Xenopus tropicalis: one gene and its partners. Each later gene encodes a partner of the first gene's protein in a complex. Links are inferred from orthologs where the notes say so. Each region holds a gene or a part of one and is shown in the gene's direction. Other genes may lie near its edges.

Region 1 (4,016 bases):
TACACAGTTATGCATACACAGTTATGCAGACAGTTTCATTTGCAATCACATGTAACACTATGTCATTAAGAGTATTAATGATTCACTCCAAGTATTGGAGACCTTATTCTGGGTTAACATTTAAAGAGAAAGAGGTGGATCTTTTTCTCCAAGAGGCACGCCACAATCTTACCTGCATTTCCCAGGAGCCCTTATACCTATAGTCTTACCTGTGCACAATGCAGTAAAAAGTACCTATACTGTGCCTGTGCAAGGGATCCAGGTAAATACAGATAGATGGTGGTGTGACAGTTAGAAAGATGCCCACGGCCAACATATTGCTTCCCCTAGTAAATAAGACTACTTGTCCTTTTAAAGAAAATCTAGGACAAGATCAATATTATCTTTATGACACCTCTCTTAAATGAACAATAAAAACATCTTTCCAAATATGTCATATGAAACAAACATTTTCCCTTAACATGTGTGACTTTGCAATAGCAAAAAGCATGATCAGGAAGCACATCTCCAGCAGGCACACACCCGAGTGACCCCACAATTACCCGCTTACAAAGGCAGGACTTACGATCCTAAATTGGCTTTCCAGCAGCAGCTGACTTCTATAATAGAACTATACGAATAGGTGGCGGCAGAAAACCTATAGACAAGTACAAGCCAAGCTGCCCAGCACTTCAATTAGCCAAGCTTATTCCCCGTTTGTATTAAGGGACAACTACTACACAAAACTCGGCCTCTCAGCGAAGGGAAACTTCCTTAGGTGTCTGGCACAACTGTCGCCAAAAGAACAACTCGAAAACAAGTTTGCTGCAGTTGTACAGCTGCGAAAATAAGCCGGCAATGGGAAAATCCTATCAGCCTAGCTCCAATGCAATCCTCTCCGTATCCCAAACATCCCGTCTCCCACAGGCTCAAAGCCAGGCCCGGCAAATAACGCTCAAGTAGACGTCCCCGTTCATGTCGGTATTTCTCTCATACGACCCATTTAACTGTCCATTTTTCAGTATTAATATTTGACTATACACTAAGCTCACCCGCACTGGTAACCAAGATGGAGGAAAAGGAAGGGGGAGCGCTTTGCATGACGGGAAATTATGAACGTAGCATGCGTGAGGTGTCCATGTGACTGCCTAATGTAAAAGGGTAAAAAAAAAAAATAAATTAAACCCAATTTCAGGGCAATGAACTATGATCTCTAAGAGAATTGATTTTAAATCTAAAATCGTGAGATAAATGCAATAAATGTTAAAAATGATATATAACCGGCGGTACGAAGACGAATAGGACGCAAGGACTCTCGGGCAGGGTACGATCCCCATGGCAACTGTATGTAAACATTGGGTGTTCTGACGCACAGGTAACTTGCAAATCAGTTTTCGCAAAATCTGTATTGGCATTATATATTTTACATTGTACGTGAATGTGCATATAGCTACATAGTTGGGGTAAAAAGGGATGCAGTGTGTGTTTGGTAGACGTTACCATACCTGAGTAGTAGTAATACAGGGACTTAAGAAACATACACTGGCTAAGATACAGGCTCCCTGTTCTATAGTAAATGCTTTTTATTTGGCTGGATATAATACTTTAATGGATAAAACATAAAATTCTAATTGCATTATCCTTTAGTTGTATTACAAGAAAAGTAAGCAGTTTGTTATGTAGGGATGCCCCTCTTCCAATACTACCAGTGTCCACTCTCAGCTGCCCTTCCAATCCATACACCAACCCATTTGCATTCACATTTGGGCAAGAAAAAGTCACCCAGTTGTCCGTTATAAACACATTTGTGTCTTTGAAAACATCTGAATTGATCCATCTTATATACTTCCTTATGAAATTGCATTCAGTAGGATGGTGCAATGGAATGTTCTAGGTTTCCCTGGTCAGTTCTTAATCTGGAAATGCTATTGTTAGTACTGTGTTTGGAGTTTCCTTATTGGCTCAAAGGGGACCTGCCACCCAGACATAAAGTCAAAGTAATTTTTAAATTTAACATGAAACCCAAATTTTTTTAATGAAAACATCCATACCTGTTATAATGGTATTTCAAATCTTCAAATTTGTCTCTGTGCATATGAGTTGTTAGCAGTGGTTTGGGCAGCACACTAGTCATTAAATGCATAGTTTGCGAAGAACATAGACACACATATAATCAGGGCACATGCTCTTCGCGAACTATACTAATTGTATACATACAAGTGCACCCAGGTGTTAAACTATAGTGCGAGGTTAACTTTATCAATAGTCATTAAATGCAAGCATGAGCACCTAAAACAAATTTGGGCTCATGGAGACTTCTGGGAAATGTAGTATGGGCTCTGCACATACAGGTTGCTATGGCAACAGAGCGCTATTAAAGAGGAATTGCCTCTTTGTCAATCTCCTTTGTGCTTTTGCTGTTTACTATGCCCCATGGTTGATAATAGCATTATAATTTTTTTTACCTTAGCACATTCTAATTATTACAAGCTTTTTGGTGCCTTTTTGGGCTTATTAGGGTGGGGAAGGTAGATTTTCACTGTTTGTGTGTGGATACAGAAATCCTTAAGAAAGGTTACACTGTAGTGACCAAAACACTGAACTTTGCACATGATTTTGTAAATATATTTGATTTATTTGCTAAAGATCCATGCTTGCAGAACTTTTTGGGGCTTAGTGTTTGCTTATCTTGCATTGTTTGGTAGGCACCTTTTAAAAAGTGTTTTATCCAATTTGCAGCAAACTAAAGGCTTTGCATTCTGACACATTCATACCTTGCAGGTCAAGTAAAACTCCTTGAAAGATGACATTGTCTATGCTGGATGCACTTCGGGCGTGCACTGTACTGGAGGACAGCCTAGATCAACTCTCCGTTCTGGGAAACATCATGCCTGTATCTTACCATGGCCGCAGTGATGTTAGTGACCATAAACATTTGGCTGTGATTGGGTATTTTGTGGAATCTAACTTTTGATGTTGAATATCCTAAAAAGTCCTGCAAATGTAACCTGGTTATAAAGTTAGCATATATTATCTAGTGCAGGGATCCCCAACCAGTGGCTCGTAAGCCACATGTTTTTCACCAACCTGTTGGATGTTGCTCCCAGTGGCATCAAAGCAGGTGCTTATTTTTAAATTCTTGGCTTGGAGGAAAGTTTTGGAAGCATTGTAGGCTGCCAGACCACATAGGAGCTACCAGTAGCCAATGACAGCCCAAAATAGACACCCCCTGGACCTTTTTGCGTGCTTGTGTTGCTCTCCAACTTTTGATTTTTGCATGTGGCTCATGGGTGGAAAAAGGTTGGGGATCCCTGATCTAGTGCAATACAAGATGCTCTGGGAACAAATATTTTCTGAGCAAACATTTATATTAAAGCAGCGTCGTTCGGTCTGGAATATTTGTAGTGACTGTTTTTGCCTTTCTTTATAATTAGTCGGCTTTCTAATGTCTTGTGTGTAATTTTAGATAGTTGGAAATGAAATTGGAAAGATTCTAAAAACACAGAGGCAGCTGGAAGGAAAATTTGAAGACCTCATGGGGAAACGAGCAGAAGTTCGAACAACCTCTTTCCCTCTGTCCAGTAAGATGCTGGATCTGACAAAGCAGGTGGAAGAAACTAGCGGAAATCTAAAATTGACCAATGAGCAGTTTATTCGAGTAGTGAAACAGAGTCCTCTAACTGCAGATAACCTCAGGAAGGTCCAAGCCGACAGGTGAGACAGATGCTTCTTTTTGTTTGTAAGCGTCATGGCAGACGGGGAGATTAGTCACTGCGCGACAAATCTCCCTTGTCGCGGGCAGCTAATCTCCCCGAAATGCCATCCCATTGGCTAGATTGTAAATCGCCGGTGGGATGGCATACACAATTGTATTAAAGGGGAAGGTCGATACATTGATAATCTAAGCTGTAGTTTAATAAAGTCTGAGGCTGATGCCACACGTGGTGTAGGGCTGATTTTTTCAGCCCTACGCCTGCTACTTGTGCCTGCACCCGAATGAATGGAATACGCTCAGGGGCAGGCACATGTAGCCGATA
Region 2 (4,063 bases), about 98 Mb from region 1:
AGGCTGCACTATTTCATTTTCTCTGTCTGACCTATGGCATTGGCTTCTTCTAGGAAACTACCTCCTCTGCACCCCCATACTTTGGGACCCACCCTCAAATAAAGGTTTTTATCCAAATCCTCCTGTTTTATGGTATCTCTCTGTACAGGCTATGAGCAAACTTAGGGGGCTGTTCCTGCTGAATTGTGCTTAGTACAGGGGAATCCCTATGTGCCATAGTTTTAGGGTATCTCTCTGTACAGGCTATGAGCAAACTTAGGGGGCTGTTCCTGCTGAATTGTGCTTAGTACAGGGGAATCCCTATGTGCCATAGTTTTATGGTATCTCTCTGTACAGGCTATGAGCAAACTTAGGGGGCTGTTCCTGCTGAATTGTGCTTAGTACAGGGGAATCCCTATGTGCCATAGTTTTATGGTATCTCTCTGTACAGGCTATGAGCAAACTTAGGGGGCTGTTCCTGCTGAATTGTGCTTAGTACAGGGGAATCCCTATGTGCCATAGTTTTATGGTATCTCTCTGTACAGGCTATGAGCAAACTTAGGGGGCTGTTCCTGCTGAATTGTGCTTAGTACAGGGGAATCCCTATGTGCCATAGTTTTATGGTATCTCTCTGTACAGGCTATGAGCAAACTTAGGGGGCTGTTCCTGCTGAATTGTGCTTAGTACAGGGGAATCCCTATGTGCCATAGTTTTATGGTATCTCTCTGTACAGGCTATGGGCAAACTTAGGGGGCTGTTCCTGCTGAATTGTGCTTAGTACAGGGGAATCCCTATGTGCCATAGTTTTATGGTATCTCTCTGTACAGGCTATGGGCAAACTTAGGGGGCTGTTCCTGCTGAATTGTGCTTAGTACAGGGGAATCCCTATGTGCCATAGTTTTACGGTATCTCTCTGTACAGGCTATGGGCAAACTTAGGGGTAACAATATGGCAGATTTTTTACAGATCTCTGCTGGGGGGGGGGGGGGGGGGGGGGGCGTTGCAGTTGGGGGTCAGTGTTAGGGAAGGGAGGGCAGAGAAGGCTCCGTATGGGAGAGGGGGCAGTTAAGAGGTTAAGGGAGGGGTGGGAAGAGATGGGTCAGTATTAGGGGGGCTAAAGTACCCGGACCTGCCAGACCTGGGGGGCCAGACAATAGCAACTTGCCCCAACCCCCGGTCCGACCCTTTTCAGCCCTCGGTGCCGGAACAGAGAGCGGCGAATGGGTTAAAGTGCGGATCATGTTACGCGGTACCCGCCAGGGGGCGCTCCGGGGCAGAATCCGTGCGGGGAAATAGCGCTGCCTGTGTTGCCATGGGAACGGTAAACTCCGGCCGGTAGCAGCCAGGGGAGAGCCGGTACCGCGGTGCTACAGTAAGTCTGTGCCTGGGGATTGGCTGTAGGTAGGTAGGTAGGGGTATGGGGGGCAGGGTAATACGGGAGCCCCCAGCCAAGCTCCCTTACCTCTCACATTGTATTATATGTTCAGCCCTAATGCCCTGTGTCTCACCCTCAGTGTGGGGCCCCTGCCGTAAAGCGAGTTGTTACCTACAAGGCATTCAGTGCAAAGAAATATTTATATGTGTATATGTTCTACTCACCCCAAATAAACACAAAGGCCCTTATAGTCTAACCCTTATAATAATAATAATAATAATAACCCTGTGGGTTCCGGGTATGTGGGCCCTAAGCGCCGGCCCTTACAGTCTAACCCTGTGGGTTCTGGGTATGTGGGCCCTAAGCACCGGCCCTTACAGTCTAACCTTGTGGGTTCTGGGTATGTGGGCCCTAAGCGCCGGCCCTTACAGTCTAACCCTGTGGGTTCCGGGTATGTGGGCCCTAAGCACCGGCCCTTACAGTCTAACCTTGTGGGTTCCCAGTGTGTGGGCCCTAAGCACCGGCCCTTACAGTCTAACCCTGTGGGTTCCGGGTATGTGGGCCCTAAGCACCGGCCCTTACAGTCTAACCCCGTGGGTTCCCAGTGTGTGGGCCCTAAGCACCGGCCCTTACAGTCTAACCCTGTGGGTTCCGGGTATGCGGGCCCTAAGCACCGGCCCTTACAGTCTAACCCTGTGGGTTCTGGGTGTGTGGGCCCTAAGCACCGGCCCTTACAGTCTAACCCTGTGGGTTCTGGGTGTGTGGGCCCTAAGCACCGGCCCTTACAGTCTAACCCTGTGGGTTCTGGGTTCTGGGTATGTGGGCCCTAAGCGCCGGCCCTTACAGTCTAACCCTGTGGGTTCCCAGTGTGTGGGCCCTAAGCACCGGCCCTTACAGTCTAACCCTGTGGGTTCCGGGTATGCGGGCCCTAAGCACCGGCCCTTACAGTCTAACCCTGTGGGTTCCGGGTATGTGGGCCCTAAGCACCGGCCCTTACAGTCTAACCCTGTGGGTTCCGGGTATGTGGGCCCTAAGCGCTGGCCCTTACAGTCTAACCCTGTGGGTTCCGGGTATGTGGGCCCTAAGCGCCGGCCCTTACAGTCTAACCCTGTGGGTTCCGGGTATGCGGGCCCTAAGCACCGGCCCTTACAGTCTAACCCTGTGGGTTCCCAGTGTGTGGGCCCTAAGCACCGGCCCTTACAGTCTAACCCTGTGGGTTCTGGGTGTGTGGGCCCTAAGCATCGGCCCTTACAGTCTAACCCTGTGGGTTCCGGGTATGCGGGCCCTAAGCGCCGGCCCTTACAGTCTAACCCTGTGGGTTCCGGGTATGTGGGCCCTAAGCGCCGGCCCTAACAGTCTAACCCTGTGGGTTCCGGGTATGCGGGCCCTAAGCGCCGGCCCTTACAGTCTAACCCTGTGGGTTCCGGGTATGTGGGCCCTAAGCGCCGGCCCTAACAGTCTAACCCTGTGGGTTCCGGGTATGCGGGCCCTAAGCGCCGGCCCTTACAGTCTAACCCTGTGGGTTCCGGGTGTGTGGGCCCTAAGCACCGGCCCTTACAGTCTAACCCTGTGGGTTCCGGGTATGCGGGCCCTAAGCGCCGGCCCTTACAGTCTAACCCTGTGGGTTCCCAGTGTGTGGGCCGTAAGCACTGGCCCTTACAGTCTAACCCTGTGGGTTCCGGGTATGTGGGCCCTAAGCACCGGCCCTTACAGTCTAACCCTGTGGGTTCCGGGTGTGTGGGCCCTAAGCGCCGGCCCTTACAGTCTAACCTTATGGGTTCCCAGTGTGTGGGCCCTAAGCACCGGCCCTTACAGTCTAACCCTGTGGGTTCCGGGTATGCGGGCCCTAAGCACCCTCTTATCTCTCTGTCCTAACTCACAGGGGTAAAAGCATATACAGTTCCACAACTCACTGCCCATTGGCTCAGCAAGATGATTGAGGCCCCTCCCAGTGTAAGAGGTTTGGTGCCGGCGCCGTTACCAGTGGGGCAAAGAAACCCGGCCGCCGACCCCAGAAGGATGCGCAGAATTATTGCAGAAGATCCAACATGGTCGTTGGCCATTGTCCCCCTGCTCAGCGACCTCTGCCTGCAGCACATCGTCACGAACTTTGCACGTAAGTGGCTCTAGGGCCCCGGGCAGATATGTGTGGGCAATGGGTGGGCAATGTGTAGACAATGGGTGGCCAATGTGTGGGCAATGGGTGGCCAATGTGTAGGCAATGGGTGGCCAATGGGTGGGCAAAGGGTGGGCGATGGGTTCCCAATGGGTGGGCTATGGGTGGGCAAAGGGTGGGCGATGGGTTCCCAATGGGTGGGCGATGGGTGGGCAAAGGGTGGGCGATGGGTTCACAATGGGTGGGCTATGGGTGGGCAATGGGTGGCCAAAGGGTTCCCAATGTGTAGGCAATGGGTGGGCAAAGGGTGGGCAATGGGTTCCCAATGTGTAGGCAATGGGTGGGCAAAGGGTGGGCAATGGGTGGCCAATGGGTGGGCAATGGGTGGCCAATGGGTGGGCAATGGGTTCCCAATGTGTAGGCAATGGGTGGGCAATGGGTTCCCAATGTGTAGGCAATGGGTGGGCAATGGGTGGGCACGGGCCCCTATTCCATTGGTACTTGGTGAATTTGCTTTTCCTCCCCCATCTTATACCAGGGACAGTCACTATTTATTGGGCTGGGGGGGCTGTTTGGGTACTGGAAATATTGGG
Region 3 (3,500 bases), on another chromosome or scaffold:
ATATAAGGTATTGTAACACTGAAGCCATTATTATGAGAACTCTATCCGGTGCTGTATTAGTGCTGTGTCAGGGTGCTGAAGCTGTCACATTGCCATGCAGGACCGATCCACTCTTGTGAGGGAATACTGGGAATGGGTAAATAAGAGCAGTTTAGAAAAGCCAGGTTTTTATGATTAAACAACTGATATTAAAGTGACATTCCAGTAGCTTTACTTTTAGGGTGAAGACACACTGGGCAATACTGAGAATTGCCTCTGCTAAAACACACGTAGTGACAATTATCAGTAAATGATCAGCATTGTCTATTTTAGTAGCCACAACAAGTAGCTGCTACTAGTAGCTCTGTGTGTCTTCACCCTTAGGGCTCTGGCACACAGGGAGATTAGTCGCCCGCGACAAATCTCCCTGTTCGCGGGCGACTAATCTCCCCGAGTTGCCATCAGCTGGCATCCCACCGGCGAAAATGTAAGTCGCCAGTGGGATGGCACACGCGGCGGCGCGATTTTGGCAAATCGCTGAAAATGCCTCGCGAGGCAACTTCGTCGATTTGCCGAAATCGCCTGCGCAGTGTGTGCCATCCCACCGGCGACTTACATTTTCACCGGTGGGATGGCAATCCGGGGAGATTAGTCGCCCGCGAACAGGGAGATTTGTCGCGGGCGACTAATCTCCCCGTGTGCCAGAGCCCTTAAAGGTGAAGACACACGGAGCTACTTAGTAGCAGCTACTTGTCACGGCTACTGAATGCCAGTAAATACCCTGCCATAGACAATGCTAAGAACTGCCTCTGCTCAAACACACGTAGAGACAATTATCAGTAAATGATCAGCATTGTCTATTTTAGTAGCCGTGATAAGTAGCTGCTACTAGTAGCTCTGTGTGTCTTCACCCTAAGAGTATTATTTGCTGTTGTAATTTAAAGTTCTCTTAATTTTACTTATATTTCCTTTTTTATAACCTTATATGATTACATCTCAGTGCTCTGTGTCTTATTGCAGAGCTCCTGGGAAATCCCCCAAAAGCCGTTAAAGAAGTATACTGTGAAGCCCCCTCGTCAGCTGATTAGTAAGTTTGCAGTACAGCAAGAAGCCAAGAAACAGGCTAAAATGGAGGAAGCTCTGCGCAATGAGCAGGAGGAGGAGACTAGGCTTAAGGAGGTAAGATGGACTGTAGTCAGTAAGTATAAGGACCTTTTCTGATGACTTTTCTTTGCAAAAGCAAGTTATTTTAAATGATTTTGATACCAAATAGCATTAATAATACCCCCTTTCCCCTAAATATTCTAAAAATCCATTTTTAGTATAAATGTATCTGGATGCAACATGTACTCAAAATTCTAACAGCAGCTGAAAAATATTTCATTTATCATTTGTGGTCAAAGGCACTTTTTAGAAAATGTGTGGCATTAATGTAGGAGGTGCAAACATGCTCTCTGCCTTTAAATTCCAGGCCGACCAGGTTGCCTAGGGCCCCTGGCCGGCTTGGCCCGGCACTGTGGTCTGAATTGGCCAAAATGACTGACTATCTCTTGTCGTGTATTGTCTCCTCAGTCACCTGAACTTTGAAGCAGCAAAGCAAAAATAATGCTGATTGTCTTAGACTTCATTCTAACATATCATTTTATGATCATCTTCCCCTGTAAACTCTTTGGAAAAGGGAGCCATATACATGAAACATGATGTGATCCAGTTTAATTGTATCCTTTAAGGCAGTGCTGTCCAACTTCTGTGGTACCAAGGGCCGGAATTTTTCCGACCTACGTGGTGGAGGGGCGATAATGGAAGCCAGTTTTGACCACTCCCCTTTTTGAAACTGCACCCACTTGAAACCACACCCGTGTTATCACATGACCATACCCATATTAATGGTTGTAGTACAGCACAAACCTGCCATACTCTGCCTTCCCTACCCTGCCTGTGTGTGCCATACTCTGCCTTTCCTACCCTGCCTGCGTGTGCCATACTTTGACTGTGTGTGCCATTCTTGGCTGGTTTGTGCCATACTTGGCCTGTGTGTGCCATACTCTGCCTGCCCTACCCTGCCTGTGTGTACCATACTCTGCCTGCCCTACCCTGCCTGTGTGTACCATACTCTGCCTACCCTACCCTGACTGTGTGTGCCATACTCTGCCTACCCTATGCTGCCTGTGTGTGCCATACTCTGCCTGCCCTATTCTGCCTGTGTGTGCCATACTCTGCTTGCCCTATGCTGCCTGTGTGTATGGAACACACAGGCAGCATACAGTGACACAATGCTGGCACTGCTCCTACAGTCTGCACAATAACTATATATTAAAAAACTTTTTAATTGCAGTACCACCTCAGTATATGTTCTTTTTGTAGTGTGCAGGGATTATTTGTGGGTTTTTACTGCTTCTACAGTCTGAGGTGTGAACAGGGAAACAATGTGGGTGATTACAGTTTGAGACTGAGGTGTGAACACTGCAGGGGGTGAACAATGCAGAGATTAAAAGGTGTGAACAACACAGGGGATTACATTTTTAAACAATACAGAGGGTTTACAGCCTGAATCTGAGGTGTGAACCATGCAGGGGGGGCAGTTAATCACAGTACTGATACCATTTAAAGCTTACACAAGAGTAAGCCATCAAAGCAGCCAGACAGGTGGGGGGCCACACAGAGGGTTTAAGGCATTGCTGTCCGATTGACAGCTTGCAGGCCCATGCTCTGCCTGCCCTATACTGCCTGTGTGTGCCATACTTTGCCTGACCTATGCTGCCTGTATGTGCCATACTCTGCCTGCTCTATACTACCTGTGTGTGCTATTCTCTGCCTGCTATATAGCCTGTGTGTGTCATACTATGCCTGGCCCTATATTGCCTATATGTGCCATACTCTGCCTGCCCTACCCTGCCTGTGTGTGCCATACTCTGTCTGCCCTATACTGCATGTGTGTGCCATACTCTGCCTAAGGGAGGTGAACCTGGCAGGGGTTTGTAAGCATTTGTAAATAGTCATTATATGGTTCCTAAGGGCAGTGGCACACAGGGAGATTAGGCACCCATGATAAATCTTCACTTGCTGATGACTAATCTCCCCAGCATGCCATCCCACTGGCAAGAATGTAAATCGCCGGTGAGATGGTATAGGCATCGCTTTCTTGCGATTTACATTCTTGCCGGTGGAATGGCATGTCGGGGAGATTAGTCGCCAGCAATTGGGAAAATTTATCGTGAGCGCTTAATCTCCCTGTGTAAGACTACCCTAAGGTGTGTAATTATATGCTGGGGGTTGCTGTGATATCCACAGGGGAAGTGGCATATGGATGTAAGGGTGTGCATAGGCGGAGGGTGACTTTTTTGTTTGGAGTGGCTAAAGATGGGCCATACATAGACTGACCTACAGCTAATGTGAGACTAAGTGGATTTGCTGCTGGTTTAAAAAGTGAACCTCCCAACTACCTCTTGCTGTTCCCAATGAATTCCAGGCATACTTTGCAATAGTGTAGATGGGAGTGCTTTTTTTACCCTAAAATGCTT
Region 4 (4,201 bases), about 49 Mb from region 1:
TAGTACAAGTTGATCCAGGGACTGGTCCGATTGCCATCTTGGAGTCAGGAAAGAATTTTTCCCCCTCTGCAGCAAATTAGAGAGGCTTCAGATGGGGTTTTGTGCCTTCCACTGGATCAACTAGCAGTTATGCAAGTTATATATAAGCATTACGTTTAACTTGGTGGCCATATGTCCTTTTTCAACCTAACTTACTATGTTATTATGTGTCATCTATATCAGTGGTACCTAAACTGACCAAGTGGCTAGGGGGACCAAGTCTGCAAGCCAGTTAGTGTAAGACCTAAGATCTAAGGGTAAGGCCTAGATCTTCCTCAGTTAAGTGACAATTTATTTCCTGGATACTCATGGCTGATACAGCAGTGTCTTCATATATCTGTACATATATAGGTGTCATTACATATAGCAAGAAATGTAAGAATTCATAAGCTGGGCTTTTAATTACAGTTTACATCTTCATAACATAGACATCAAAGTACCTTCAGCATGTTTTTTAACGTGACCCTGACAACTGATATTAGTAGTACGCACTATAAACTGACTATATTCTGTGTTAACCAGTTTCCAGTGCCATCGCTGTTAGCTCTAGGCCCATATCATACAAACCATTTTGCTACACAGGGGACATGCTGATTTAGCTGCCCCATGTGTAATCCGCCTGTTACTGCACACTAGCCAGATTTTGCCAGAGAACGTTTATTATGATTATAATAGTTATGCATTTTAGCTGAACTCTGCACGTATGTGGAATGACCAAGCTTTTTAAACAAGATGCTTCTGGCATAGGAAGCAAGATTTGTCTTGCTTTAAATGTACAATATAATAATTGAATTTCATACTGGTGACCTTGCAGCCTACCCCTGAAGCTGACAGAGTGGAATGCTGGAACTACTGACCCAGCAGAGTTGTCTTCACTTCAGCCTTTACTACTTTGATAACTTCTCTTAGTATTAATTATATAACATGTAACATATGTAATATCCCTCATACGTAATAAAAGTTACAAGTATGCCAGGGTGAAGAAAGCCATATTTTGCGTTAAAAAAAAGTGACCAGCAAATGCTACTTGCTGATTGGTTGCATTAGGTAACAAGTCATGTACAGAATTTTGCACCTTTTATAACACAATCCTCAGAGTTTTTACTGACGCACCACGTCTTTATTAGTGAGTGCTGTTTACATATCTTCAACCGGTCTATCCCTTAACCAAGCGCCTCCTGTCCCTTTCCCCAAGTCCCTTCTTACTATTACGTACATTTAAGACTTTCCGCTCAGACATTGTTACTCTTCACTCCTCTGTAGCTGTATTTTCCAAATGGCGCAGATCAATGACGTCACGCTCCAGCCGCTCGCAGGAACAAGCAGCTAGGAAGTGTTTTATATTCACGCACGTCATCTCAGCGCCACCAGGTGGTCAAATGACTTGGGTTGTGCAGTCACCTAGCAACCAGATACAAAAATGACTGATGAGAAGGAGGCCGCTGGTAAGTTAATGCTCCATAACAAAATGTAAAAAACAGATAAAAATAGCGAGACGAGGAGAGGGAAGGAGAAGGGGAAATTAACAGAGACTTGGTCTGAACCCTGTTAGAAAATCAATAGAAACGAGTAAAGTACATTCTACAAATAATCGCCTGTTCATCTTTATGGGTGACTAAAATACTGGGTGCATTTTAGATAGAGTATCAATTAACCTATTGGTACAATTTGGAATAGAATTTTAGTATTGATATACTGCAGGCAGCAGAATGTGCTATAATCCTAGGCAGGGCTGCCATCAGAACTCACAGGCCCCATACAACACAATTAGCAGGATCTGTTGTCCAGCCAGTGGGCATCTAAGCTTTTGTTCGATCAGTACATCAGACCTAGTGAAGTGAAGGGGGGGAATCAAAGGCAAGGGATTATATTTATGTTAAACAAAAAAAAAACCTGTATGGATTTTTTTAATAAATTTATATTAAAAAATATTGTCTTTTTCATAAAGAACCTGGCACCATAAGGGCTCTTAGATTTTTCACTTTACTTCCCCTTAAAAAATGTACTGCAATTCCCATTCTCTGATAACGTAAGGGGGCCGTGCAGGTGTAGGTATGTAGGTGTGTACCTAAGGATATCCTAAAATTGTACTGATCACACCAGTCACATCCCTGTTACTAGGATTGGCTTCTGTGCAAGATAGTTATAATCAAAACTTTGGAATTTAGCACCCATTACTATTATACCTCATCTCAATACTGTTGGCTAAAAACAAACCCTGAAATGTAAGCAAGAGACAATGAGCTACTATAAGTTGCTGTAATGAAGTAAGTTATTCTGATCAGTGCAAGATATAGGAAAACTGTAAAAGTAATAAATGCAAAAAAAAGCACCAAATTACATTTTTAATGTGTGTTAAAAAAGCTAGTAGCTTATGTTCTGTTTTCTATCCATTATAGTCAGTGCCAAAGCCAATTAATCCATTTCCTTAATTCAAGCGTTTAGGTTATGGTGTGAACAGACATACTGTATATGAGCAACAGAGAATACCACCGTACAGGGCAGCCTTGAGGGCAAATAGTTGTCCTGGTGTTTTTTATGGTCATAGGAGCGCAGGCCACGCTGCACTTGGATTACCAGGGCCCCCTGCAGTCAGTGACCAGCAGCCTTCAGAACACAGGACTAGCGCTCCAGTGCCAGCTTCTTATTATCTCATACAGCTTTCTGTAAGCTCATTTGCCAATAAAGTTTAAGTCCCGGAAAAGGTGCATGGTGATTGAATGGGCTGGAAGGGACCCATCCAATCCCCATGCAGAATTACCAGGATTTAGAGTTCTGTGGTAAATGAGCAGTAAAGGAGATACAGGCACCCAGGTTCCTGTCCTTTGCTACCCGATTCTGCAGCTCTCACAGCAGCACGGCCGGGCCCCCCTTAAACCTCAAAACCCACCGGGCCCAGGACTGTCCTCCCTGGCGGCGGCCCTGGTTCTAAGGCTGTTTCAGCGCAATCTGAGAATAGGCAATGCACCACCATTCTCTTTCTGAACCTGTGTGTGCACTGACAGGCATGTGACATATAAATATATGTATTTTCATGCCAAAATCTTTGTGTGTGCTAAAGAGGTGATCCGTTGCACTTGAAGTGGTGACAGATGGTTCTCCACACAGATGGAGCTCAAATAGTCATATTAGTAATGGAAACAGTGTATAACTGTAAAGCATGTCACTATGCCTGCTAATCCATTAATGCATCTAATTATTTTCTTACACATATTTTTTCAGAATCTCTAGTGACAGATTTACAGAAAAAAATTACAGAAGCCTTTGAGGTTTTTGACCATGAATGTAACAAAACTGTTGATGTCAGGTAAACATAACATTTTCCCTGTAGTTTTTTTTTGTAGAATGCTGGGTAAACAGGAGAAAGACAGCTGTACAAGCTTTCAGTTCCTAAAGCTGCCATTTTTATTATTTAATGCAATCTCAAAAGTGTGTGTGCTTTGGTAATCATTTTCTTTGTATTGTGTAAAAAAAAACAACACACTAAACAAGCAAAACCTTACTTTGTCAAGAGTTCTCATTAAAAAAAGTATACAATATGCACATTATTTATTTTATTTATTATTTTTTAAAGCTATTAGACTAATTAAGATTTTTTTTACATTAACAGGATATAAAAGCTAACCCTAACCCTGTTTTATTTTAAAGTTTCATGCATTAACTGTGCTACTTTTGTAACAGAGAGATTGGAACAATCATAAGGTCTTTAGAATGTTGCCCAACAGAAGGCGAACTCCATGATATGATTGCAGAGGTAAGGTTTTAAAAACAAGTTAAAGAGTACAGAACTATATGCACTTATTGTGCCCATATCAATAAAAACTGAAAAATTGCAGCTGTAAAAGTAAAAATATTTTTATATTTATTCTGACCTATTATTGCCTAAGAAGAGATAAAACCTTTGTATGTCTTATCTTGCTGTGTAAAATAACTCCCACGTTTAAGATGTAGCTGAGAAAGTTTTTGCCTGTTAAAGGCAACAAGAATTCTGCGAGTCTTTGTTAGCATGTTCAGCCAATAGAGGGCACTGTTTTATTAAAGTCTGTTTCTAAAATGTTACATTTTCTAAACAAAAAATAGTATGGCAACTCTGAGCAACTATAAATGAACATCAATATATAGACACATTAGGCATCCTATACAAAATATACCAGTTTTCATT
Region 5 (3,500 bases), on another chromosome or scaffold:
ATACATACCAGTAGTAGGGGAGACCCCAAGGAGCCATTTTTTTGTCATATATAATTCAGAAATATGTAAGGTGGACATAGGTATAAAAAAAACAATGTAGAAAAGTCAGTATTTAATTAAGTAAAATAAATTAGACCAGTGCTTCTCAAACTGTGGGGCCATATTTACTTACAGGGCTTACTTGCAATTTTGGTGAGACCCAAGTGGACCTCTGACATATAGGAATAATTACAGATTATAGTGAATTTCATCTTTTCAGCAGTGGCATATTCAGAACACAATATCTTTGGGAACTCAATTTCGCTACATTTTCAGGGCTAAAGGAGCCCCCAGAAAAACTCTAAAAGTAAATCACATAAACATATGTAAAACATTGTTTCTTAAAACTAAAACCTTTTCATAAAAAAATATACTTTTCTAATAGCATGTGCCATTGGATAATCCCAATTTTAAAAACTGCCATTTTAAGAACTAAGCTCCACCCTCTGGTTCATATGAGGCACTGTGCTGATACACAAACCAAGGGTATGCAGATGTTATATCAGCCACTGAATGAACAGAACTGTGTGTTTTACTCTGTGAGGAAGCAACAAAGACCATCACAAAATGGCGGCTCAGGGGGAAATATATAAAAAAAGCAGTATTTACTGTTGTACATGCAACCTTGGTAAGATTCGTTAAATACTTCATATGACTCTCCTTTCTGACAGCGCTGCGCAGGCAAGTAACACGGCGAACTCAGGAACACAAAGAGGAGCTGCATGCAAAACTGCAAGAGCTGCAGGGAGACCTGGAAGAGGAGAAAAGTGAAAAACAAGCTATATACAGTGGTAAGGAAAGGATCTTCCTTTTTGGTATCAAAGGATAGAATTTCAAATTGACAAGATATAGGCTCAAATTAAACAAGGCCATATGGTGACTAATCAGCTAACTAATAAATCGCTCACATTAGGACGTTTCATAAAACAGTATTAGTAGTTATTACCCACCCAGAAATGGCTGGGTTTCAGTGGATGTAAATTAAAATATTACAATGAAAATTGTAATTTTGGGTCAAGATTGTGCTCTACATAACAGGTTTAATTTTTCCTTTAGTACTGACTGGCTTCATTTTTCTCTGTCACCCTTAGAAATGACACGTCAGCAGCAGGCTTTGGAACAGCAGAGCTCAGCATCTATCCAGGCCCTGAAACAGGAGGTTGCGGAACTGAGGTTACAACTTGGTGAGAATGGAGCGTAGTACTAGACGGCATAAAATGTAGACACACTTATAGAGACATGAAATCTATCCAGAATGCATGGAATCTGGTGTTTTCCAGATCTTCTTTCATTTGGCTCACCGTAGTTAAGTTACATAGTAACAGTAGCATAGTAGTTGAGGTTGAAAAAGTCCATAAGGAAAAATCTGCATTCATTACTTTACGCAGTGTGCAAATGCAATTTCAGGGGCAATTACCATGTTTTTTTCCACAATGCATTTTTTTTCCAGAATTCTGGTGTCATTGTAATGCGGGTGATTTTGTTGGCGCAATTGCGCTCACCTACTGCAGTCGCATCCAATTTGCCAAAATGGATGAAACTGTGTCTTCAGCTTGTTGCAAATTGGGAGCAGTTGCACTGAATATTTTCAAAGTCTGTCTGGTGTAATTTCTAGCATTTGTTGGCATCGTTTTTGGTGTTCAGCGTGCGAATGTCGTGCAATAAGTGCAGCAGAGCCCGATTTGAAACGGAAAGCAGGAAGGACTGAGTGCAACTAGAGGGTAGTGTGAAGAGTGCATTATGACGCAGTTAAATTTAATGAAAGCGGTTCTAAGTCCAAGTAGTTTAAGTGCAAGTTGTCTATTGCGCTTGCAGCTGTAAATGAGCCCTCAGGTATCCCATTCATTACAATTTAATCTCATTTATATCTGCAAATTCCAAATAGGTGTTAAGGCACAAGAAAAGTCGCAACCACTTTGTGTATACAGTTGAACCTGCAATAGTAAATAGCTCTGTCCTCAATTTGCATACTTTACAATGCAAGCCCAATAATGTGTAATTGTGTATGCATCACACTTAGGTGAGTCTCAGCAAGAGCTAAAGGAAGTCCGTGAAGAATTGGAGCACACAAAATCCGAGAAAGAGGATCAAATTATACACCTGCGTAGAGAGGTGGAAAACATGGAGTCAGAATATGAGAATTTGTTGCATGTAAGTTAAATTTATTTGAGCTACGGCAGGAGCGTCACTGCATGTCATTTGGGTGTCAGTTTTTTTTTAATTTTTTTTAAAGCTTTTCTTTTTGCATAGTTTTCAATACAAGGAATACAATTAACAAAAGGGAAGAATGGAAAGGAAAGCAAAGTGAGGCAAAGGCCCCAAATCAAAAAGTGTGTAAATAGGTATATTATACATTCAGATATTTTGCTGTTCAAAGCAGGTTCCCCATATAGCATTGAATTTCTCTGGACGTCTTGCTAAATAATCAGTTTTTGGCTTGGAAGGGAATCATCTACCATCTTTTGACAAACTGAAGAGAAGGGGGATCTAAGAATTTCCAATGCATAAGAATGGCTTTTTTAGCATAGTAAAGCAGTTGTAAGTAGCATGCTCTGGAGTGGGACCAGATGTGTATATCACCTATTACTCCTAGTCAGCATAGGAGTGAATGGATGTTTGGAAAGCCAAGCTTCTCATTGAGAAATGTTAGCACCTCACCCCAGAATCTCTGGATAGCCTGACAAGACCAGAAGCCATGAAACATGGTGCCTATGCCATCGGTGCATTTGGGGCATTGATCAGACACATTATTATAAATTTTTGCCAGACGGTGGGTTGTTGAGTACACTCTGTTTAAAACTTAATCTGTATGTATCTATCCCTCTTTGAGATGGATAAATAAGGAACAAGCTTGAGGGCATCAGACCACATCTCATCCTCTAGCGTGGGTATGTCCCTTTGCCATTTAGTCTATTTTTTTGAAGGGGAGAGGGACCTATTAAAGAAGGTATAATGTAGAACCAGGAGAGGTCTTGTCTATGAAGGTAAGTCTCAAGGGTTTTTTCGGATAACCTTATGGGTCTGGATGGGAATTGTATATTAAAAGCATGCCTAAGTTGCAAGTACCTGAAAAGCATGTCTGGTGTGGATCTCATGCTTTAATAGGTCATAATTCTTGCAGTCGTCCTCTGTAACAATATCCCCTAGAACTCATCTAGCAATATCCTGAAGTGCGTGGAAGTGGGGCAGGTAAATGTTACCCTATATTGGGGTCCTGGGAGTTAGGTGTCAGTTTTAATAGGAAAACTATAAACAGTAATTCTTTTCAGAAAATTCCCTACTTCTCCCCTCTTGCATTTTCCAGTGGTGTAGCTACAAGTACTCTACTGCACCCAGACCCATTGGCTTATGGGAGCCACATTAGAAGAAACCAATAAAACTTCCACTACAGGAAAAAAAACATAGTAGTATGAAGAATCCTTCATGCAGGGGTCAAACAATATAGGTGGACATTGAGGGTG
Region 6 (3,500 bases), on another chromosome or scaffold:
CTCTAAATGCTGCTGCCAGACTTCATCTATCTCACTGTTCCACATCTGTCACTCACTGATGCATATCTTTTTGCTGCCTCCCAATCTCCTCTAGAATCGAATACAAATTACTAACACTTACATATAAGGCCCTTACTATTGATGCTCCTCCCTATATCTTAGCTCTAATACCACAATACACTCCTTCACGCAACTTTCTGCCTCTGACCTTCGCCTCTCTTCTCCTCTCATCCCATTCCCAACTGCAAGACTTCTTCCGGGCTTCTGCCTGTCTCTATGCCTTGTCCCATCAGACTCTCCCCTTCCTTCCAAACGTTTCCTAAAGACCCATAATTATATTCAAGGTATCTAAACTGATCTGAGATTTATATATGTATCATAAATCATCAATCAGTATTCCTTATGCTAAACCTTAGCTACATGAATAATGATTAATATATACAGGGGTATTTTACGTTTTTATAGCTTAAGCACCCAGAGTGTACATATAACAGTGAATCTTGTTTACATCAGCTTACATTCTGGCTGTTGTTGTGAAAGTTACTATGTTGTCAGTTACTATACTGCAGTCGTATTTATAGAGTTCCTTTATTGATTATATTTTTTACTGGATTCAGATTTTAAATGTTTTCTGTATTCCTATTTTTATTTTAGGTGTCATAATTTAACCTACCTAAGTCTTCGCTACTGTGAAAATTTGACAGATTCTGGCTTTGAGCTACTAGGAAACATGGCCTCACTTATTTCCATAGATCTGTCTGGGACAAATATTACAGACCAGGTATGTTAGCACAAATATTTTCTTTCCTTATTTTTCCATTAATATCCCAAGATATATGGAAAATGTTGGTACAGCAGAACCTACTGCTTAACATGATAATGAACATACATATTATGAATACAAGGTGAACGTGATGGACGTATGTCTTTTTTCAACCCAACTTACTATGTTACTATGTAACTACTCCTAAAACACCTTTTTATTATTCTTATACCCCCTTATGTAATAAAAGGCAATAAGTTTGCCCAGGTGCAGTAACTCATAGCAACCAATAAGATGTTTGCTTTAACAAACAACAGATGACCAGTAAATGCTTCCTGCTGATTGGTTGCTATGGGTTATTGCTCCCTGACAAACTTTGTGCCTTTTCTTACATAAACCCTTTGGTATGCATTTTACCTTCAGGTTTAGTTTAGATTACAAGTTGATAAATGTTATCTCTAATGCTAATAGCATATCAGTTGCTTATTTCTGATGGCAAAAAAAGCCAAATCCTCTTATGCTGCCTTCCACTCCTGATAAGGAGGCAGCAGATTACATAGTTACATAGTTACATAGTTACATAGGGTTGAAAAAAGACCAGTGTCCATCAAGTTCAACCCATCCAAGTAAACCCAGCACACCCAACCCACACCTACCAATCTATACACTCACATACATAAACTATAAATACAACCACTAGTACTAACTGTAGATATTAGTATCACAATAGCCTTGGATATTCTGATTGATCAAGAACTCATCCAGGCCCCTCTTAAAGGCATTAACAGAATCTGCCATTACCACATCACTAGGAAGGGCATTCCATAACCTCACTGCCCTCACCGTGAAAAACCACCTACGCTGCTTCAAATGGAAGCTCCTTTCCTCTAATCTAAAGGGGTGACCTCTGGTGCGTTGATTGTTTTTATGGGAAAAAAGAACATCCCCCAACTGCCTATAATCCCCTCTAATGTACTTGTACAGAGTAATCATGTCCCCTCGCAAGCGCCTCTTTTCCAGAGAAAACAACCCCAACCTCGACAGTCTAACCTCATAGTTTAAATCTTCCATCCCCTTAACCAGTTTAGTTGCACGTCTTTGCACTCTCTCCAGCTCATTAATATCCTTCTTAAGGACTGGAGCCCAAAACTGCACCGCATACTCAAGGTGAGGCCTTACCAGGGACCTATAAAGGGGCAAAATTATGTTCTCATCCCTTGAGTCAATGCCCTTTTTTATACAAGACAGCACTTTATTTGCTTTAGTAGCCACAGAATGACACTGCCTGGCATTAGACAACTTGTTATCAACAAAAACCCCTAGATCCTTCTCCATTAAGGAAACCCCCAACACACTACCATTCAGTAGATAGTTTGCGTTTATATTATTTCTACCAAAGTGCATAACTTTGCACTTATCAACATTGAACCTCATTTTCCAGTTTGCTGCCCAGTTATCTAATTTTGTCAAATCGCTCTGCAAAGCGGCAGTATCCTGCATGGAACTTATAGTTTTGCACAATTTAGTGTCATCAGCAAAAATAGAAACAGTACTCTCTATGCCCACCATAGGTCATTAATAAACAAGTTAAAAAGCAGATTGCTGAATTTATGAGACGTTTTAGCTCATTAAACAGAAAGAACAAAACTACACAATTCCTGGTCAAACAAGGCTTTCTTGCCGTAATTATAAATGAAACATCAGTAGATGGCAGGCAAACCTGTATGAGCTAGTGCTTCAAACTGCAGCATATTCTAGACACAGTATAAATACAAGTTTTTCATTAAAGGAATACTGTCATGGGAAAACATTTTTCTTTTAAAACGCATCAGTTAAAGGACAAGGAATGGCTAAGTCACTTGGGGGTGCCAAAATGTTAGGCACCCCCAAGTGACTTAAATCGCTTACCTTGTACCCCGAGATGGTGCCCCTGTTAGGAGAAAACAGCACCAGCCTGGGGTACCTGTAGCACAGCTCTTCCTCCTTCCGCCTTCTCTTTTGGAAGGACTAAGGAAAGGCGCATGTGCAGTAGAGTGAAAAGCCGACTTCTCTGTTAAAGTTCAGCTTTTCACTCTATTGCGCGTGCGTTAGAAGACGGAAGGAGGAAGCGCTGCAGCTACCCCCGGGCTGGTGCTGTTCTCTCCGAACAAGGGCACCAGCCCAGGGTACAAGGTAAGCGGTTTAAGTCAATTGGGGGTGCCTAACATTTTGGCACCCCCAAGTGACTTTGTTTTTCCTTCTCCTTTAACAGAGCTTCTTCAGAAGAATCCTGCATTGAATCAGTTTTTAAAAGCACAAACAGATTTTTTTTATATTTAAGTTTTAAATTTCACATGGGGCTAGTCATGTTTTTCATTTCCCAGGGTGCCACAGCCATGTGACATGTGTTCTGATAATTTTCAGTCACACTTTACTGCTGTGCTGCAAGTTGGAGTGATATCACTCCCCCCCCTTTCCTTTTCCCAGCAGGTGATGATCAGAAGGTAGCAAGATAGCAGCTACCGATTGTTCTGCTGATCAGCTGCTGGGGGGAAGATAGGGGGTGTAATATCACTCCAATTTTGCAGCACAGCAGTAAAGAAGATTATCAGAGCACAAGTAAAAAATCCAAGTCAGCTACTTGTTTGGATTAAGTTTTACTGCTGCCAAAGCCCCATAAGGGCTCTGGCACACGGGGAGATTAGTCGCCCGCGACAAAACTCCCTGTTCGCGGGCGACTAATCTCCCTGAGTTGCCT

The links.
Region 2: iqcg (region 1) and tcte1 share a complex: the UniProt entries of both Homo sapiens proteins name them as parts of the nexin-dynein regulatory complex. The link is inferred for Xenopus tropicalis from reciprocal best matches to the Homo sapiens genes DRC9 and DRC5.
Region 3: iqcg (region 1) and drc7 share a complex: the UniProt entries of both Homo sapiens proteins name them as parts of the nexin-dynein regulatory complex. The link is inferred for Xenopus tropicalis from reciprocal best matches to the Homo sapiens genes DRC9 and DRC7.
Region 4: iqcg (region 1) and efcab2 share a complex: the UniProt entries of both Homo sapiens proteins name them as parts of the nexin-dynein regulatory complex. The link is inferred for Xenopus tropicalis from reciprocal best matches to the Homo sapiens genes DRC9 and DRC8.
Region 5: iqcg (region 1) and ccdc153 share a complex: the UniProt entries of both Homo sapiens proteins name them as parts of the nexin-dynein regulatory complex. The link is inferred for Xenopus tropicalis from reciprocal best matches to the Homo sapiens genes DRC9 and DRC12.
Region 6: iqcg (region 1) and fbxl13 share a complex: the UniProt entries of both Homo sapiens proteins name them as parts of the nexin-dynein regulatory complex. The link is inferred for Xenopus tropicalis from reciprocal best matches to the Homo sapiens genes DRC9 and FBXL13.

Annotation. Positions count from the first base shown.
Region 1 is NC_030681.2:100,505,729-100,509,744, reverse strand, and holds the start of iqcg (dynein regulatory complex protein 9), read left to right. Parts: upstream 1-1,216; 5' UTR 1,217-1,354; intron 1,355-2,760; 5' UTR 2,761-2,782; coding exon 2,783-2,896; intron 2,897-3,445; coding exon 3,446-3,693; intron 3,694-4,016. UniProt on the Homo sapiens protein: Component of the nexin-dynein regulatory complex (N-DRC), a key regulator of ciliary/flagellar motility which maintains the alignment and integrity of the distal axoneme and regulates microtubule sliding in motile axonemes.
Region 2 is NC_030681.2:2,404,420-2,408,482, reverse strand, and holds the start of tcte1 (dynein regulatory complex subunit 5), read left to right. Parts: upstream 1-1,263; 5' UTR 1,264-1,351; exon of another isoform or gene 1,352-1,380; intron 1,381-3,236; 5' UTR 3,237-3,286; coding exon 3,287-3,470; intron 3,471-4,063. UniProt on the Homo sapiens protein: Component of the nexin-dynein regulatory complex (N-DRC) a key regulator of ciliary/flagellar motility which maintains the alignment and integrity of the distal axoneme and regulates microtubule sliding in motile axonemes.
Region 3 is NC_030680.2:76,097,276-76,100,775, reverse strand, and holds part of drc7 (dynein regulatory complex subunit 7), read left to right. Parts: intron 1-999; coding exon 1,000-1,158; intron 1,159-3,500. UniProt on the Homo sapiens protein: Component of the nexin-dynein regulatory complex (N-DRC) a key regulator of ciliary/flagellar motility which maintains the alignment and integrity of the distal axoneme and regulates microtubule sliding in motile axonemes.
Region 4 is NC_030681.2:51,986,723-51,990,923, reverse strand, and holds the start of efcab2 (dynein regulatory complex protein 8), read left to right. Parts: upstream 1-1,401; 5' UTR 1,402-1,459; coding exon 1,460-1,484; intron 1,485-3,261; coding exon 3,262-3,346; intron 3,347-3,720; coding exon 3,721-3,793; intron 3,794-4,201. Other genes in the region: splicing factor YJU2, read right to left, coding at 1,256-1,279. UniProt on the Homo sapiens protein: Component of the nexin-dynein regulatory complex (N-DRC), a key regulator of ciliary/flagellar motility which maintains the alignment and integrity of the distal axoneme and regulates microtubule sliding in motile axonemes.
Region 5 is NC_030683.2:80,334,194-80,337,693, forward strand, and holds part of ccdc153 (coiled-coil domain-containing protein 153), read left to right. Parts: intron 1-710; coding exon 711-830; intron 831-1,130; coding exon 1,131-1,223; intron 1,224-2,059; coding exon 2,060-2,190; intron 2,191-3,500. UniProt on the Homo sapiens protein: Component of the nexin-dynein regulatory complex (N-DRC), a key regulator of ciliary/flagellar motility which maintains the alignment and integrity of the distal axoneme and regulates microtubule sliding in motile axonemes.
Region 6 is NC_030679.2:78,014,446-78,017,945, forward strand, and holds part of fbxl13 (dynein regulatory complex subunit 6), read left to right. Parts: intron 1-654; coding exon 655-781; intron 782-3,500. UniProt on the Homo sapiens protein: Substrate-recognition component of the SCF (SKP1-CUL1-F-box protein)-type E3 ubiquitin ligase complex.